Linked DNA regions of Arabidopsis thaliana. The protein of the gene in region 1 interacts with the protein of each later gene in a pairwise test. Each region holds a gene or a part of one and is shown in the gene's direction. Other genes may lie near its edges. The genes, in order: AT4G38550 and CAD1.

Region 1 (9,420 bases):
ACTCTCCTCCAGATTTCTTCGTCAAGGTAAACAACAACTACTACTCTTCTTTTAAACTAGATTTCTTCGTAACTGTGTGTGTGTTGCATTTGCTGCATCAGATTGGAATAGCAGGAGTACCGAGAGACACGGTCTCATACAGAACGGAAACAGCTGTCGATCAGTGGTTTCCTATATGGGGCAACGACGAGTTCCTGTTTCAGCTGTCTGTTCCAGAACTGGCGCTTCTGTGGTTCAAAGTCCAAGACTACGACAATGACACCCAGAATGATTTCGCAGGACAGACATGTCTTCCTCTGCCGGAACTGAAGTCCGGAGTTAGAGCCGTCCGGCTTCACGATCGAACAGGCAAGGCCTACAAGAACACGAGGCTTCTCGTCAGCTTCGCCTTGGATCCTCCTTATACGTTTCGTTGAATCTCGTTTTCTTTCCGAAATAAGCCACACAGTGTGTATCTCTGTTTGCACGTTTATAAATTTATAATGTACAATTATTTGCGCCCTAGCTAGAACGGGATAAAGTGTGACAACATATAAATACTATTAAAGATTCGATATTTGATGACTGTAGCCGCCTGCCTAGAACGGGGTGCCTTGTTTGACTTGCCAACTTCAACCACATTTCTTTTTGTTTACTTGAAAGTTAAAAATAAATACTAGAGAGGAAGAAAAACAGAGCTTTCTTTCTAAGATCATCAACGCACCATGGAAGAAGAAGGCAGCCCAGATATCATCATCGTTGGCGCCGGTATCTCCGGCCTTTCCACCGCTGTTGGACTACACAGGTGTGTGTGGCGTGCCTTTTGAGTTGTTATTAAGCAGAGTAAGTTAACTAAAGTGGTGTGTGTCACAGGCTTGGGATCAGAAGCATGGTGCTGGAATCTTCGGAGACACTGAGAGCGACAGGATTTGCATTTACCACTTGGTTCAATGCTTGGAAGGCCATGGAAGCTCTCGGCGTTTCTCAGCATATTCGCAGTCTCCATGATCGCCTTGAAGGGTATCAAACTAACACTATTATTACTATTCATATATAATCAGCTCAGTAAAAAAGGGGACTCATCTTTGATTTTGCTGCAGATGGGTGGTTGGAACAATTTCTGCAGGAACTCCTCCCACAGAGATGCTGTTTCCAGAATCCGAGTATGTTTCTTCTTCTCTGCACAGAGCATATGAATGTTAAAACAATAAATAAGATAACTTCAATAATATTGTTGAATGATTTTGTCAGAGAATATGAGTCTCGATGCGTACAGAGGAAGCTGTTGTTAGAGGCTCTAGCAGGTGAGTTGCCTGAAGAGACCATCAGGTTTTCGTCTAAGGTTGTTCATATTGAATTGTCTGGATGCTACAAGAAGGTTCATCTCTCCGACGGGACCATTCTCAAAACCAAGGTAAATAACTACTTGTCCTCTGTAAACCATGTGAGGCCTGGTCTTGCTACGGAATTGTAGGGTTTCTAAACGAAATGCAGGTTTTGGTAGGGTGCGATGGAGTGTACTCAGTGGTTGGTAAGTGGCTAGGCTTCAAAAATCCCGCTACAACTGCCCGGTTAGCAATCCGAGGGCTCACACATTTTCCGGAAGGCCATGGATTTGGGAAAAGGTTCTTCCAGTTTTATGGAGACGGCGTTCGTTCCGGTTTTATCCCATGTGACCACAACACTGTCTACTGGTTCCTAACCCACACCTCCACTGATATAGGTGAAGATATGCAACTTTACCTGATATCTAATATCTAACTACAAGCAGCTTCTTGTTCATATCATACTACTGTCTTTGACTCTTCTCCTTGCGCTTGTTAGATGAGGAGACAAATTCGGAAATCCTCAAAGAGTTTGTGCTGAACAAGATCAAAGACTTGCCTGAAAACATTAAGAATGTGGTGGAGACCACTGATCTTGATAGCATGGTGATGTCTCAACTGAAGTACCGACCTCCATGGGAACTGCTATGGTCAAACATCACAAAAGACAACGTGTGCGTTGCAGGAGATGCACTTCACCCAATGACTCCTGATATCGGACAAGGAGGTTGCTCAGCCATGGAGGATGGAGTTATCCTTGCTCGTTGTCTAGGTGAAGCGATAAAGGCAAAGAGTCTGAAAGGTGAAACAGAAGAAAATGAAGAAGAGGGTTATAAGAGGATTGAAGAAGGTTTGAAGAAGTATGCAGGAGAAAGGAAATGGAGAAGCATTGATCTTATAACAACGGCATATACAGTAGGATTCATACAGCAGAGCAGAGGGAAGTGGATGAACATGTTCAGAGACAGGTTCCTGTCGTCTTACCTTTCTAGGATGCTGCTGAAAAAGTCCCATTTCGATTGCGGAAGCCTTGTCCCATGATGATTCTCAAACATAAGTCAAAAGCTTGTGATTCTTCTTGTCATCACCAACTGCAGAACAGTTTTCACCTTTGGTTTGCTTCAAAGACTATCTATCTGTTTAGTGTTATTTCATATAACAAACTCAGAATTAATAAAGTAAGTTTGTGTAGTGAACAAGAAGCTCTTTTATTTTTTACGGCAATCTAAAGCTCTGATATCAACAAGTGATGAATGAGAAAAGAAAATGACTACTTCAATTGAACCATAGCAGAAGTTATGTTTATTACATTATAACGTATGCGAGCCTCGTTCAAACAGGAATGGATTCAGAAAGAAAAAGAAAAGGAACCTGAAGGCTGAGGAGAGATTTGAGTGTTAGGAAAGAGAGAAGAGGCAAGGTGACAAAAGTTCCCACTGGATCGAATCGCATCAGCGGCAACCCCGGTGGCCGGCGATGGCGAGCAGCGATGAAGACGCATGTGATCATCTGGGCGGGGCTGGGTTTTTAAGGAATTTCTCCTCTATTTGGGCCTTTCTTTTTTCTATTTTAAGGCCCATTTTGTGACTGCTTATGGGCCCATTTGAATACAGGAGAAAGGTCGCCACTATTGACCAAGTCATGGTTGCTGCCACTTGATTGATAAAGAAAAACGAAAACAAACAATTATGTGATTTAGATCTGAGTCTGACCAATATTGTTATATCTTTAGGAATTTGTTTGTTTGTAATAATTTATAAGTCAATAGTCAAATGAATGGTTATCGTAGACTTTTCCAATTGCCATTTTCTTGTTTATAAAAATATCCATAATACACAGACTTAAAGGGGCCTCTGACTCCATTATATCTATCGAATCATATATACCAGTCGTAGTATGACGCGTTGAAGAACAGAAACGAAACGAACCAAAAAGTCTTCTCCGGCAACTTTAGATCCTCCAGCAGCAAGGTACTCACTCTTATGAATTCCTAACATATGTATAATTACTATACAACCAAGGTACTAATTTGCATGCCTTCTTATGTTCCGGTCTAACCACAGATCATTTCTCAATCCCATCCTTTGCCTCAACCCAATATGGACTTCTTCACTTCAAGCAAAGCTAAGAAAGATAGCAAAAAATCATCAGGTAACTCCCTTTTTTGGGAATCTAAGATAATAGCCGGAATGTTTAACTCTCGCTGGGGATGGTGAAAGACTAGACTTTCTCAAACTGATCCTATTTAGTATTTACTATCATCATCCTCTTAGCATATCCAAACTTTCTCTTCAGGACTCTTTGGCAAGAAAACTGTCAGCAAGAGCACTCCGGGCAGCCCTGCTCATCCCCCCGGCGCTAGATCCCCGCCCCCATCGTATCTTTCAAACAAAAGAGCCGAAACAGAGTACGATTTCCCCATGTCCAATGAACAAAGACCATACTGGAAACAGCCTGCCTCTGAACGCGTCCCCAACTCCCACCCTAGGCCTCCCGTGTATGGATACGGCACGGTACTCATCTATCCCCTGTTTCATTCCCCAAAACCAATTGAGTTTATTTGAAACAAACGTAGTATACGTATCTAATACTGTGTTTGCCTTCTCCTCAATTGCAGCCCGACCATCGTCGAGACCACGGTAGAGAAAGAATGGAGGCCATGAGTTATGAGCCAGAGACCAACGCTCCTTCCAGCCCATATCATCCAGCTGGAAACCGCACGGTACTTTCTGCTTCTTCTGATTCGAGTCTTCTACTGTCTCCACCGTTTGTTTCCTGATACCATTCTCTCTAAACCTGCAGCCTGAACGTCCTAGGAAATCAACCGAGTATCGTCGAGAACACCAGGATCGAATGTATGAAGCAGATACCCGAAGCAATGCGAGCCCATTTCACCCATTCAGAAGCCCTTCTCCATCTCCATTCCACACGGTACTAATAACCTAAACTTCTGATGACCTGCTTCGTATTCAAACCCATCAATCACTAAATAGAATGCATTGCTTTTTAAATGCTTGATTTCAGCCTGATCGCCGCAGAGACCACTACGACATGTATGAGCCTGAGGCCAACACCATGCTGCAGAATAGCGCTCCAGGGAGCCCATTCCATCCAGCTGGAAGCCGCTCTCCACCACCATACAGAACGGTAAGTCTTGCTCGTGATTCTTGAGTACACGATGAGCCACATAGATGACATAAACTCTCTCTCTCTAATTGCAGCCTGATCGTCGTAGTAACTATGATAAAGAGCAATTTGAGGACCTGTACGAGCAAGATGGTGATGTCACACCGCGAAACAGCTCTCCACCGAGCCCGTTTCATCCAGCAGCATACAAAACGGTCGGTACTCAAAAACTCGATACTGGCTTCTTTTTGGGGATAAGTAAATCAAATTCTCTTTCTAGTGAGTCACTTAGACTGACAATAGAATATGTTCTTGTTATGCTGCAGTCTGATCAACGTAGTAACCATGGTAAAGAGCAAATTGAGGACTTTTATGAGCAAGATGACGATGTAACACCACGAAACAGCTCTCCACCTAGCCCATTGCATCCAGCAGCAAGCCATTCACCACCACCACCACAACCATACAGAACGGTACTCAAAAAATCTTAAGTCTGGCTCATTGTTTTTGTTTCAGCTTCTTCCTAGTGATAAAAAACGTCCTCTTGACAGTGAGTCACATATATTGAATTTTCTCTCTAATTGTGCAGCCTGACCATCGTAGAAGCCACCAGGATAACGAGGATTTCGAGGCAATGTATGAGCTAGATGGCGACTTAATACACCAGAAGAGCGCTCCTCCGAGTCCCGTTCATGGACCATACTATTCATCCAGCGACGACGATAATCACTCCACCTACCTCTATCCAGAAATCCGCAGCCCACTTCGTTCCAGGATCGTATCCGAGAACAGCACGGTGTGAATCCTTTCCCAACTCTCTCTCTCTCTCTCTCACAGTCACTAATGATTCTGAAATGCCTAAAAAACAAAGAAATGACAATGCTTTAAACCTGCAGCCTGTTCACCACAACTACCAGATAGTTGCGGCCGAGACCTATGAGCAAGACAAGCAGTTCGAGCCGCCGGAGCTGCCTGACGAGTCACAAAGCTTCACAATGCAGGAGATTACCAAAATGCGAGGACTCAAGAACTACGAAAGCGGCAAGGAAGAGAGTCAATCAATGATATCCGAGGCTTACGTATCCGTCGCGAATTACAGAGTGAGGCAGAGCGTGTCGGAAACCCTGCAGGCGATCATCGACAAGCACGGCGACATCGCAGCCTCCTCGAAGCTGCAAGCAATGGCAACTCGGTCTTATTACCTGGAATCCCTAGCCGCTGTGGTGATGGAGCTGAAAAAGACGGTTCTGAGGGATTTGACGAAAACGCGCGTGGCGGAGATCGCGGCGGTGGTGAAAGACATGGAGTCGGTGAAAATCAACGTGTCGTGGCTAAAGACAGCGGTAACGGAACTGGCGGAGGCGGTGGAGTATTTCGGGCAGTACGACACGGCGAAGGTGGAGAAAGAGGTGTGCGAGAGAGATCTGACGGCGAAAAAGGGGGAGATGGAGGAGATGACGGCGGAGCTGGTGAAGAGGGAGAAGGAAATCAAAGAATGCAGAGAGAAGGTGACGGTGGTCGCAGGGAGGCTAGGGCAGCTGGAGATGAAAGGTTCGAAATTGAACAAGAATCTCGACCTCTTCCAGTCCAAAGTCCACAAATTCCAAGGAGAAGCCGTCCTTCTCCACCTTTAGCTCCGTCTCCAATTTCTTCCGTTTTGGATCTCATTATTCAATTATTTTCTATTGACATGAAATGTTTATAAATTTAAAGTTTGGGGCCATTAGTGTAATTCTTAAAAAGATTTAAAAAGCTTTTATGTTGAATGTTGAGAGTCAAGGTCAGCTATTGCAGAAGCGTAGATTGTTTCAGAGTCAAGCATCTCAATACATTGTAATAATATGCATGCGTGTGTTTCAAGCTATATATTTATGTATGTGCATTTTACTCTTGTTTATATCTTCTGTGATATCAAAACTTGATTGACTTGGTGGTCAACACTTGTTATAGCAAACAAACAAACTATAGCAGTACTCTCTCAGTCTCTTGTATGCATTGCAAAGAAAAAACAAAACATCCGTCTCCTTTCAGCCTCAGATTTCAACAATTTGTTCTTTACTTCTGAAATTTCCTCATTTCGTGAATCCTTCAAGTCAATTCTGTGTCGTGTTCTCAGACCTATTCATTCCATCACAATCATCCATCTCAATTTCCTTCCTTCTTCCTCTGAAACCTTTTGACTCTGTCTTTGGTTGTAAACTTCTTTGCTTTTTTCCTGTTAGCGTAAACCCTCACTTTTATAACAACTTCTCACTTTCTTCGTGTGGAGGATCTTTCCAGAGAGAGAGAGAAAGATATACGCTTCTCTGTTAATTAGTCAGGTTCTAAGTTTTGATCTCCAAGTCTCTGAGAGGGTAGTGGCATGTCTGGAATAGTACATCATGATTGTCCTAACTCAGGAAATCCCTACCACGAGTGCCACGATCAGTGTTTCAAGAGAATAAGCTCCGGAGATGTCCCCAAGAAGGAGAAAAAACGGTTTGGTAAGAAGCTTCTCATTTTGTTTGCATTTCAAGATGACTGTACTTGTTATATAGATTAAAGAAACTGTGGAACTTTGTCTCTTTGTCTAAGGCTTTGGTAAACCAGCTTGTAGCAAGGAAACGCCTCTTACCAGTCCGGTTCGTGTTATTGCGGGAAACAGATCACCACTTCCGAGTTATTACGGAAAAAGAATGGATGAGTCAGACGAGTCCCCCTCCTTCTCTTCCTCCGATGACTCTTTCAATGCAAACTTGCCCACACCACGTTCCACTTTACATGGGAACGAAACTGCCCCGGGAATCAATTGGCTCCCCATGTCGCCTTCTTTCGCTGTGTATTGCAAGAAAGATTGTTTCTCATCAAGGGTGAGCATTTATTCTCGGTCAGTGTTATCTATATAAACTTTGTTAAGTGCACATCTTTTGGATGTTTATTTTGGCTCTTGTTTTCGATGTGAAGATCGATCACCGTGAAGGTGAAGCTCCAATTCTTGATGAAATGCCATCTAAGACTCGGCTTAAGACACCTCTAAGTCCTGATACTAGGCCAAGGAAATCAGAACACAGGACAAGAAACCAAGGACCACGCTCAAAGACTCCAGAACCTAGAGGAAGTTACCTTGAACCACCCAGGTCTAGGATCCCACAAACTCAGCCGGTACCACACAGATCCCTTGAAAGTGCTGGTCTCAAATCACCTCAGAAAGGTGAAACTCGGCCTCATATCCCCCAAACTCAGCCAACATCCTTCAACATCGGTGGTAACTATCATTACGCTGCTCAAGCATCCAAATATCATGCTAATAAAGCGGATTCAGTGTACACTAAAGACAGAGACAAATGCGTTATACTTTATCCCGATATTCTTTTGTCCCCTCAAGAAAATCTGACATCAAGATCCATTACGGTATTGGTCTGTCTCTCTGCTTTAGCATCTGTCATTTATCTTAATTAGTACCGCAGAAACATGAGTCTGATCAACAAGAATAACTTTCCACTCTTGGATGGCTCTATTTATCAAGAAGAGTATTGCTCAAATAATCACAAGAAATTTTCCTTCATCTCTCCTGCAGATGCTTCCCCAAAAATCCCGTACACCACTAGACAAACAATCGAAGGAGCCATTACAGCTGCCTGTCGAATGCCATAGCTTTACTCCATCTGAGATCGAATGCATGAAAGCGTTAAAGATTTACGAAACAGGAGAGGAAATGAAGTCAATGATTTCAGAGTCGTATGTCTCTGTAGGAAGCTACAAGGTCAGAGCGAGCGTCTCGTCCACTCTGCAGAAAATCCTGGACAAGCATGGAGACATAGCGTCCGGTTCCAAACTTCAGTCACTGCGCACAAAATCTTACTCGCTTGAGACTCTAGCCGCGGTGGTTCTTGAACTCCAATCGACGCCCCTGAAGAAATTGAAGCAGGCACGCGTGTTGGAAATGCTATCGGTTGTTATAGACGCAGAGTCTGTTAAAATCAGAGCTGGTTGGCTCAGGGAGATCCTGAACGAGATTCTTGAAGCGGCCCACCACTATGATGGACACGAGACAACGGTGGTGGAGAAGGAAGGGCGTGAACGGGATATGCTGCTTGAAAGAGAAGAAATGAAGAAGATACAGGAGGAGGTGAGATTGAAGGAGAAGGAGGCAAAGGACTTTCGTAAAGGAGTCATGGAAATGGCAGGGCGTTTGGGAGAACTGAAGATGAAGCGAGCGCGTTTGGAGAAACGCTTGGCGTTTCTGAGCTCCAAGGTGGAAAAGTTTGAGGGGGAATCTTTGTTAGAGAACGTCTTTTGATCAACCTTATGCTTTTGTTTTGGTTTTTCTAGCTAGCAGAGATGGGGTTTTATGGTTGCAATCAAAACATGATGTGCTAAAGAACTTAGAAGACATGAAATTTCTGAAAATAGTGAATGGATTTAAAGACAAGAGTTTATCTACATACTAAACAAGATGGATCCGTATGTACAGTGTCGTACACAACATGAAACAAAAGAGTTAAACACGATTCACGGGCACATAACGTCAAGGCTTCTTATGCTGTTTCTCTATGTCATACAGGACACAAACATCTGCAGCCGTTTTCATCTGACACACGCGACCACAGAAAAAAAGACACAATAAGAACTAGAGATGCCTAGTCTATTAGAGGGATTGAATAGTTGTGAATCAGACTTACCTGAATCACATTGATGATCTGCTTGATGGACCAACCAAATATGCTCAAAGCCAAGAGTAAAGAGAGCGGTGAAATCTGCATCAATGATTTCACTACCACCTGAGGTTTGAAAACAATTGGAACCATGAATAATGCAGTAGGAAAAGCTCAAGAGATTAAAGGGGAAAGAGAATAGAAGAGAAGCTCACGTTCATCAAGTTTTCGGTTTGGTTCGTTGCTATGAGAAGAAGGATTATATAAAGAACCTGTAGTCATTTGACTATTTGAGAAACTCTGTGTTTACAATATCTCCCAATAGAAATACATTGAAAAAAAGTTAAGTAGCTCAG
Region 2 (9,543 bases), on another chromosome or scaffold:
TATCATATAGTACCACTAGTTGATTTTAAAATCCCATTATTTGTTTGTTATATACTTATATATAATAAACATAAATTGATTTGACATATTATAACTATTTCATAAAGACATAAAAAATAACTTCACATATCATTTGGTAATAAAATCTATAATCAGAATCTATTTATGAGATTAAGAGAAAACAAATTCAAAAAAAGCAGATTCCTTTTTCTTCAACCCCAAAAGCTCTTTCATATTTTCCTTACTTGTTCCATTGGTAACCCAAATTAGAAGATATGGTAAAGAAGAAAGGACAATTAAGTCATTTACTCACGAATGGCATTGTTCGTAATTTTGGCAATATTAAAGGGTAATTTATTCTTCCTTCTTCTATATATTGTCGTAACCCTACTTGAAATCTCCTTGTCCTTTCATTTCTCCTCCTCTCTCAAATCGTCTAATTCTCTCTCTATCTCTCTCTCTATCTCTACTTATTATTTCTTAAGTTAAAGAAACAGAGATTAAAAAATAAAAAGCCTTCTCGGGTTGTTTAAAAATACTGTTTCACCGCAGTAATTAATTTAAAAATTACTGTCGATGACGTGGCATGCACTTAAAAAGAAACAGCCATGAATACAAAAACGATGCGTCTTCCCCCACGCCGAGTTACCTCCGGCGCCGTCGCCGGCAAACAAACGGAATCCGCCGTGATAAATCCACCACCGCCGCCGACTAAATCCATCGTCAAGAAAACGCCGATCATCCCTCGACCAACTACCACCGCCACTGTAGCCTTAGCCGAGCCGGTTTGTTCGAATCAGCTCTTAGCCGGTTACTTGGCTCATGAGTTTCTCAACAATGGCACACTCTTCGGAGAGCTTTGGAATCCAACTAAAGCCCAAGCCGGCCCATTAACGACCCAATCTATTGACCCTAGAAAGAATAAGCCGAGCCATGATATAGAGCCGAGTGATCATAAACGGAGGAGATATGTGGAGGTTGCTAACATACTCCGGGTAGATGGGACCCATTTGCCCGGTATCGTTAACCCGTCACAGCTTGCCCGATTCCTTAAATTGTGATGCGTAAATCCACGTGGAGTCGTATTATTGGTTCGTCGTTTAGAAAAACAAAACAGCTGTAACACCGAAACATTCCTCTTCTCTATCTTTTATTTTTTGTCCATTAATGTTTTTTTGTAAAAAGCTCTCTCTTCATCGTCTTCATCGAAATTGACTCAGAAATGTTTTAGGGTTTTTTTGAATGTTGCAAATCTGGTCTAATTATGCTTTTAAATTGACCAAATTGAACCCAGATTCAACCATTTTTTTGTTATGTTATTATTACTTATTTTGAAGATGAACAAAAATGATTAATGCGTAATGATTTTAGATTACTTAACCTGTTGAATCAATCTTAGATCCGTGTTAATTCAACAATATGAATCTCCTGATCTGGGAAGCAAATAGAGTGAAGATCAGTCCCTTTGTATACTTTGATTCTTGCAAGAACTTATTAATATGATCTCTGTTTTGAGTTTGTAAAAATTTTACCTTTATTTTGAGATGATTATCAGAAGTTACTGGAAATGCTAATTATACCGATCATTTTTGAAGACACTAATTTACTTGAATTCTTAAACAGGAATTAAGAGCCTGAGTTTTTAGATGTAGTATATCATCTGATGATGATGATGCCCTTTACTTGACTAATTTTTTTTTTTTTTTCTATTTTTAGAATTGAATTCGTGTGTTTTGCTGGTTCTATAAAGTTTCTTAATCACAGGAAAAGTTCAAAGGACAATACTTGAATACTTGGGTAATTCAGAACATGGTTCTATGATCTCATTGTGGTTTGTTCGTTGGATTTTGTAGTTAGCAGTGGACAAAAAAAATGGTGATTATGTTTTCGATTCTTCAGTTCAATTTAAATAAGAATCTATCTATATCAACATTTGTGAAGCTCTTTGTTGTTTCTTGGTGATACAGAATCTTTGACTCCCAAGCATCACGGCATTGAGGTTAACTGCATTAACCAGTCAGGTCGAATATTTGTTATCCATTGACCATTTGTTTGATTATGGGTCAATGGAGTTTCAATGACTCTTCAGCTTCAATTGTTGCTTATAACTTACATTAGTTTTCTAATAGTATTATCTTTTGATCTGTTTCCTTATCACTCTTATGACTTATCTTATGCTCTTACTTTTCCATTTCGAACTCAAGCTTCTCATGTTTATTGAACGTTTTTGTTGGTGATTACTGTGTACATATGTAGGGAATCTGAGAACCTCTTGAATTTAAGTACATTTCTCATGGGTTGGTGAGTTCTTTAATTCTTCATATTTTATTTTTGCTCATCTTTAATTTTTTGAAATTTTGATCGAAGCAGAACAGCTGCAAATTTGAAAATCTCAGACATATCTAAAGCAATGTGACCCACATTGGTTGGAATAGAGGGTCTCTCAGTACAACCAACTGGGTATCCATATATGTAATGTCTATACACAATCTAGTTTTACTTCATATTGGTAGTATATTAAATATATATACTATAAGAATTATTAAAGTTAGTTGTAAATTGTAATGAATTAGAGCATCGTAAGTAAATAATCTTTTTTTTTCTTTTACCACAATAATTGTTATGCCTTTACAGAAATCAAAGAATACATGAAGGGAGCGAAACAAGAAAACACTAATACAAAGGGAAAACATGAACAAGGCCTTGAAATCAAAGAGCAGAACAATAAAGCTCAAAACCATATCAGTCTAAAACCAACAAAGTCTTGTAGGGGAAGAAATATCACCTTCACGATTAATCAAATTCCTCTTGCTTTTGAGTTTTGATAATTATCTTGTCCTATAACCAACAAGACCCTTTCACTAGCGATATAAGATCTTTCGTGATGCTTTTGGAAATCTCAATTGTAGTCCCATTGCAAGGTTCTAGTGTACATTCTACTTTCCATTCGATGAATTTCAAGAATCAACTATCAATTGACAAAACAGGGGAAACCAACGTGGATGCTCAATCGCCTCTACCAGTTGGTGAGAAGAAAGTTCAAAATGATCTGTTTTGTCTTAGGTTACTACGGCGTTCAGTAGCCCACAAGAAACTCATCAAATCCGTTTGAAAAGATTATGTACTTTGAGGATGATCATCTTCAAAATGATGGTTGAAAGTGTATTGTTCCAATAATATACCCTCAATTTCTAGAAGAATTTGTATTTTGGATAATAACAAATGGCGTAAAAAACAACAAACATACTCATTGAATATATACTTACAATGTCATGTACGAACCACATAAAACTAACTTTTCACTTAACTTTTCAAATTCCTAACAACATAAAACTTATATTTATCATATTATGTAGTATAACTTTTTTGCTTCTCCTTTTTCAACTCTCAATGTTTTGGTCATAGTATTTTTTTTTTCTATTTCCATAATTTTCTCAGAACAAGGCTACTGTTATTTAGGCCTTGTAATATTTTTGATGAATAACATTGCAATAACAGTGAAAATAACAAATTACAGTCAATTTGGATTGTAATATTGTCAATTAGGCTAAAACATATAATTCAAAAGTTGGATAGCTCGTAACACTTGCAAAATCTCTAAAAAAAATCCGAAACTTCCAATAAATAGTACTACATAATTCCAAGTTGGATTGTAATTTGGGAACCAAATGGTTATTCTACATAATTGATGATTGATTGAGACGTTTACGCTACAAATAAACCAAAGTCCTCTGACCATACCGGTTCAAGAAGTCTTCCCTCTCTCGCGCCAACTTTGACCAAAGACTAACGGTGACCACACGTCGTCAATCCTTTAGTCATCCAAACTCCAAAACCAAACAAAACCGAATATTTTGTTAACCTACTAGTTCATAAAATTCTACAACAAAAACCAAATTTCAATAACCGAAATTAAAATAATCCCCTTAAAATTTCGTAATAATGGTCTCATTTTCAGAAATTGTATTAATTCACATTAAATGTAGTGTACAAGTAATACCAACCAAACCGAAGCAACCCAAACCGGATGATTTTGACGAGGTCAACACTAACGGCTTTTCACATTAGAGTTGACCAAGAGAGAGCATTGACCTGAGAGAGTTCAAATAATTGAGTGAGTCTGTATATTAAATACGCAAATCATCATCTTCCCAATTTCGAATCTCACACACCGAAAGTTATTTTCGAATCCACTAACGAATCTTCCACAGCAAACACTTTTGTGTTCCTCTGTAATTTCTCAGTATATATAGATACCAAAACAAGCAGTGAAAAATGGCTATGGCGAGTTTATATCGGCGATCTCTTCCTTCTCCTCCGGCCATTGACTTTTCTTCCGCCGAAGGCAAGGTACGTACGGATCAAGTTTCGATTTCATGGATTGCGATTATAAACTAGGTTTTTGGTTACGCGAATTTTTCTGTGGTTCTGATGAATCACGATCTCCAGACTCCAATCTCGATTTCGTTTTTGTTTTTGTCTTCAATACTCATGAGATCTTACAATTCGTTCAGAACTTGAATCAAACGCGTTTTGTAAAATTAGATACTGGATTTGGATTTGAATTGTGAAAACACATAATGTAGTCGTTGACAGTGATCATCACTTGTGAACCTTCTAAGGTCAGTGACAGTGATCACAGAGATCTGAATATATCTCCAAGTAATTTCAGTGATAGTGTTTCTGGAAGTAGTACGCTTGGTGGTTATATTTACTGGAGATGTACTTGTTAATGTTAGCTGTGTTGATGTCTAAAAAGTATTTTTGATCATTTGTGGCAGCTAATCTTCAATGAAGCGCTTCAGAAAGGAACTATGGAAGGATTTTTCAGGTTGATTTCGTATTTTCAGACACAATCCGAACCTGCGTATTGTGGTTTGGCTAGTCTCTCAGTGGTGTTGAATGCTCTTTCTATCGATCCTGGACGTAAATGGAAAGGTATGCAAGATTGAAGCAAATTATGTCCACACTAAATAAATGATGGTTTTTTATAAAAAGTTTTCCTCTCTTCCAATAGGGCCTTGGAGGTGGTTTGATGAATCAATGTTGGATTGCTGCGAACCTCTGGAAGTAGTGAAGGAAAAAGGCATTTCATTTGGAAAAGTTGTCTGTTTGGCTCATTGTTCAGGAGCAAAAGTTGAGGCTTTCCGTACAAGTCAGAGCACCATTGATGATTTCCGCAAATTTGTCGTCAAATGCACGAGTTCTGAGAATTGTCATATGATCTCAACATATCACCGAGGTGTATTTAAGCAGGTAAAGCATAACTTTGTACACACTGTTTTGCTAAGGCTCAGTCATATTTTCAAGTTTTAAAACGTCTGGTGGCTATAATTGCAGACTGGGACTGGTCACTTTTCACCTATTGGTGGCTATAATGCTGAGAGAGATATGGCTTTGATTCTTGATGTTGCTCGTTTCAAGTATCCCCCTCACTGGGTTCCTCTTAAACTTCTTTGGGAAGCCATGGACAGTATTGATCAGTCAACAGGGAAACGTAGAGGGTACATAATCTTTTCTTATCTTTCGCTTAGGTTCTTACTGTATCATGGATGTAATATTTCTATATAATATGGTCTGATTTTTTTCTGTGTTGTTCTCAGGTTCATGCTCATATCTAGACCACACAGAGAACCCGGATTGCTCTATACTCTGGTATGTTCGATGCAATATAGGTTCTCTTTAAGTTTGCTAATATCTTTTTCTTCAATTTTGCTATTCTATTAATGCAATTTTCTCACTCACAATCTCTTCCACATGTATTGAATGAACTTGAGATCCTTATGAGCATTTTGGTAAGACAAAACTTGTGGATTGGTGATAATTTTGCTTTTATATATCTATACCAGAGCTGCAAGGATGAAAGCTGGATCGAAATAGCCAAGTATTTGAAGGAAGATGTTCCTCGTCTTGTAAGTTCACAGCATGTAGATTCTGTGGAGAAAATCATATCAGTTGTGTTCAAGTCACTTCCATCAAATTTCAACCAATTCATCAGATGGGTGGCTGAGATCCGAATTACAGAGGACTCAAACCAAAATCTCAGCGCAGAGGAGAAGTCTAGGCTGAAACTAAAGGTATCTTCAGGATAATTTTTCATAGAAACCTAAAGCTGCATGGAAACTGTTCTGTTGGTTTATGTGACACATGATTTTAATCATAACTTTAATCTACCGCAGCAATTGGTGCTGAAGGAAGTGCACGAAACTGAACTGTTCAAACACATCAATAAGTTCTTATCCACAGTGGGTTATGAAGACAGTCTGACTTATGCTGCTGCAAAGGCTTGTTGCCAAGGAGCTGAAATCTTATCCGGAAGCCCATCAAAAGAGTTTTGTTGTCGGGAAACTTGCGTGAAATGCATCAAAGGTATGTCGCCATGTCGATTCTTCAAATTTCTTATCATAGTTAAAAGTTTTGGTGTTAGATCAACTGTTAATTTTTTGTTTCCTATTAAGGTCCTGATGACTCTGAAGGCACGGTGGTGACTGGAGTTGTGGTGCGTGATGGGAATGAACAAAAGGTTGATCTGTTAGTGCCATCGACGCAAACTGAGTGTGAATGTGGTCCTGAAGCAACTTATCCAGCAGGAAACGATGTGTTCACTGCACTTCTATTGGCTTTACCTCCACAGACATGGTCAGGGATCAAAGACCAAGCTCTTATGCATGAAATGAAGCAGCTCATTTCCATGGCTTCCCTCCCAACTTTGCTTCAAGAAGAGGTAACGCTTTTACCAATTCTATTTATCGGTAATCATCAAGAGTCACGGTTCTCTCTCTAGTGGAAAATGGGATCTTTGTACTTGAGATATATAAGTCTTTTGGAAAAGAAACAAATAACTTAATCTAAGTTGAGATTGACAATGACTATTTTCGAGTTCATCCTTAGATATAGCTAAATCAAATGCCGAATCTAAATGAGTACTTGGTGAAATGAATCTGTGAAGCAGATGAGTAACGTGGTGAATTTGGTGTAAATGCAGGTATTGCATCTTCGACGGCAACTTCAGCTGCTAAAACGATGCCAAGAGAACAAGGAAGAGGATGATCTCGCTGCTCCTGCCTATTAGTTCATTGTCCCAAATCCTCTCTCTTCCCCATTTGAATCCCACGTTCTCAACACTTAATTGTTAGAAAGTCTCTTTATTCTCTGTACGATTCAAACTCTATTTGCAATGAGAGATATATGTAACTTGCATTCTATAAATTGTTAATCACAATAAGTTAAGAATCCTAGAATCATATTTCATCACACTCAAATGCAGATTATGAATCCACTATCCACAAATAAGTACCAAAGGCTTACATTCAAAACAACAGTATCCCTTAGTCCCAACTGTGTACACTGTTTTGCTAAGGATCATTCGTATTAGACAGTCAAATTTTGAATCCGGATTCTAACAGATCCTATTGCAGACTGGATCTGGTCACTTTTTCACCGATCAGTGGCTATAAATACTGACAGAGATATGGTTTTGATTCTTAGAAAATCTCTTTATTCTATGTATGATTCAGAGAGATTTTCAAATCTCATTCTCCTACTTAAATGTTCATTGTGGCCATCAATATCTTCACTTGACTTGATTATCTAATCTCTGGTCACAGCGAGATGCAGTGACACAAGTGCATGGAACTGTAACTGTTGGAGCACGTCAGAAAGTTCTTAACTTCAGGAGCTCTTATCTTATCTGGAAGCTCATCGAAAGACTTCTATTGTCGAGATAGTTCTGTTAAATGCATTGATGCCTGGGGTTGAGGAAGCTAAAGTGACAGCAGGGATGGTAGTTAATACCAATAATGAACAAGAGGTTGGCCTATTGGTGCCGTCAACCCAATCTGTCACCAAAGGTTCTGAGTATGGTCCAGAAGCAAAGTACATAGCAGGAAACGATGTCATCACTGCACTTCTGTTCGCTTTACCTCCACAGACATGGATAAGGACCAAAATCCAGATCTTTCAGAACAAAATGAAGAATCTCGTTTCCATTGGTACCCTCTTCACTATGATCAGCCTAAATAAGATCAATCTCAGCAAAACCAATAACATATGCAATCTAATATAATATATAAGTTATTAACCATAATCATTACACTCTACTGCAGATTATGAATCAACTCTCACACACACATACACAAAGTAAGTAACATTAAGACCCTAAAATCCTCAAAAGTCTATACCTCTTATCACCATTCCAAAGACCGAATCCTGCGTAAAAACCGTGGTGGCTGCTGCTTCGGTTTCTCAACAACAGGAATCACAAACTCCATCAACTTCTGGTATCTCTCTTTCCTCTTATCTTCAATCTCCTTAGAAAGCAACTCATTCTCTTCCTCAAGCTTCGCAGCCAAAGCTTCTAACTCAACTTGATAAGCTTGTTTCCTCTCTCTAGACCTAGCTGCAGATTCACGATTCTTAATCATCCTTCTCTGTCTCTGTGCAGCTGCTTTATCCAATGGCTCAACCATCACTCTCGCTCTCTTCCCTCTAGCTCCTCCTCCGTAAACATCTAAACCATTCCCAAACGCAACTATTGATCCTTCTACTTTATCAATCATCTGAAACGGATTATGCGGCGGTGCAGAATGATCGAATCCGTAATTCGTCACCGGAATCTTCACATCCAAATCCTCCGCCGACGCCGTCACCGCTGTTTCGTCTTCCACCGCAGCTTTCGCTAGAAAATCCTCTAACGTCATTATCTCTTCCGACGTCTCTTCCTTCATCCCTTTACCTTCTCCTGATACCATCTCTCTCCAAATCTCATCAACACTCTTCCCACCACGCGTCGTCTCCGTTCCTCCGCCGTGATCCACAACATCAGAAGCCGTCGTTGTTGTTATCTCCATTGGTGCTGGAGAAGCATCCATCAGATTTATCGACGCATCTAAGAGTGAAGATTCCGTTGGTGCTGGTGGATCTGATGCGAAAGTATCGTGTAAAATCCCTTCGACCGTCATCGAATTTGAACTGTATAATCCGTCGTTTCTTCCGCCGTAACCGACACTTGTTAGATCTCGCCGGAACTGTTGTTGAGGTCTTATAGACGAAGAAGAAGTAGAAGCAGAAGAGATGCGACGAGATAGATCCGAGTTTCTCGAATTTGAAGAACGCATCACCTGAAACGACGTCATTTCTGGAGAAGATGATGAACAAGTTCCGTTTGTTTCGTCCTCTTTCGCCGGAATCGGATCAGAGAATCACTCTGTTTCTTTGACTCCGCCAAATGTTGAACTTTACAGAAGCAGAGATTAGGGCTTTTTGTGTCGAATTGAGAACCTTTGAGAACTTTTGGTAATTTATCCCAAATTGTAATTAATTGACTTTTATTACTTTTTTAAAATACCACGCGCATATGTGGCACGTGAGTTTTAATTTTTAGACTTACCAAAGAAAAGAGCTGATTTTGGTAAATTGGATAAGGTTAAAATCAAAATGGATAAGATTTTCTAACTTTTGGAGCGCGTGGGAAGTTTTGTCGCGTGTCATCAAACTGTAGTTGTCAAACTTGCATCAATTATTTCAAGATCATTAATGTATTAT

Evidence for each region.
Region 2: the proteins of AT4G38550 (region 1) and CAD1 interact in a two-hybrid assay, tested with the Arabidopsis thaliana proteins (one large-scale study listed by BioGRID).

What each region holds. Positions count from the first base shown.
Region 1 is NC_003075.7:18,022,483-18,031,902, forward strand, and holds AT4G38550 (phospholipase-like protein (PEARLI 4) family protein), read left to right. Parts: upstream 1-3,403; coding exon 3,404-3,455; exon of another isoform or gene 3,456-3,599; coding exon 3,600-3,817; exon of another isoform or gene 3,818-3,921; coding exon 3,922-4,026; exon of another isoform or gene 4,027-4,106; coding exon 4,107-4,235; exon of another isoform or gene 4,236-4,328; coding exon 4,329-4,451; exon of another isoform or gene 4,452-4,525; coding exon 4,526-4,903; exon of another isoform or gene 4,904-5,019; coding exon 5,020-5,226; exon of another isoform or gene 5,227-5,326; coding exon 5,327-6,064; 3' UTR 6,065-6,358; downstream 6,359-9,420. Other genes in the region: PLC1 (phospholipase C1), read left to right, coding at 1-26, 102-416; AT4G38540 (FAD/NAD(P)-binding oxidoreductase family protein), read left to right, coding at 705-784, 853-999, 1,080-1,142, 1,231-1,393, 1,474-1,702, 1,804-2,345; AT4G38560 (phospholipase-like protein (PEARLI 4) family protein), read left to right, coding at 6,793-6,913, 7,005-7,279, 7,374-7,826, 7,987-8,709; PIS2 (Putative CDP-diacylglycerol-inositol 3-phosphatidyltransferase 2), read right to left, coding at 8,938-9,000, 9,092-9,190, 9,280-9,336.
Region 2 is NC_003076.8:17,730,601-17,740,143, forward strand, and holds CAD1 (phytochelatin synthase 1 (PCS1)), read left to right. Parts: upstream 1-4,105; 5' UTR 4,106-4,275; coding exon 4,276-4,350; exon of another isoform or gene 4,351-4,622; intron 4,623-4,781; coding exon 4,782-4,938; intron 4,939-5,017; coding exon 5,018-5,256; intron 5,257-5,340; coding exon 5,341-5,504; intron 5,505-5,603; coding exon 5,604-5,655; intron 5,656-5,849; coding exon 5,850-6,077; intron 6,078-6,179; coding exon 6,180-6,369; intron 6,370-6,458; coding exon 6,459-6,724; intron 6,725-6,985; coding exon 6,986-7,072; 3' UTR 7,073-7,259; downstream 7,260-9,543. Other genes in the region: AT5G44060 (embryo sac development arrest protein), read left to right, coding at 609-1,061; AT5G44065 (uncharacterized protein), read left to right, coding at 2,885-3,112; AT5G44080 (Basic-leucine zipper (bZIP) transcription factor family protein), read right to left, coding at 8,187-9,134. UniProt on the Arabidopsis thaliana protein: Involved in the synthesis of phytochelatins (PC) and homophytochelatins (hPC), the heavy-metal-binding peptides of plants. Also involved in glutathione-conjugates degradation.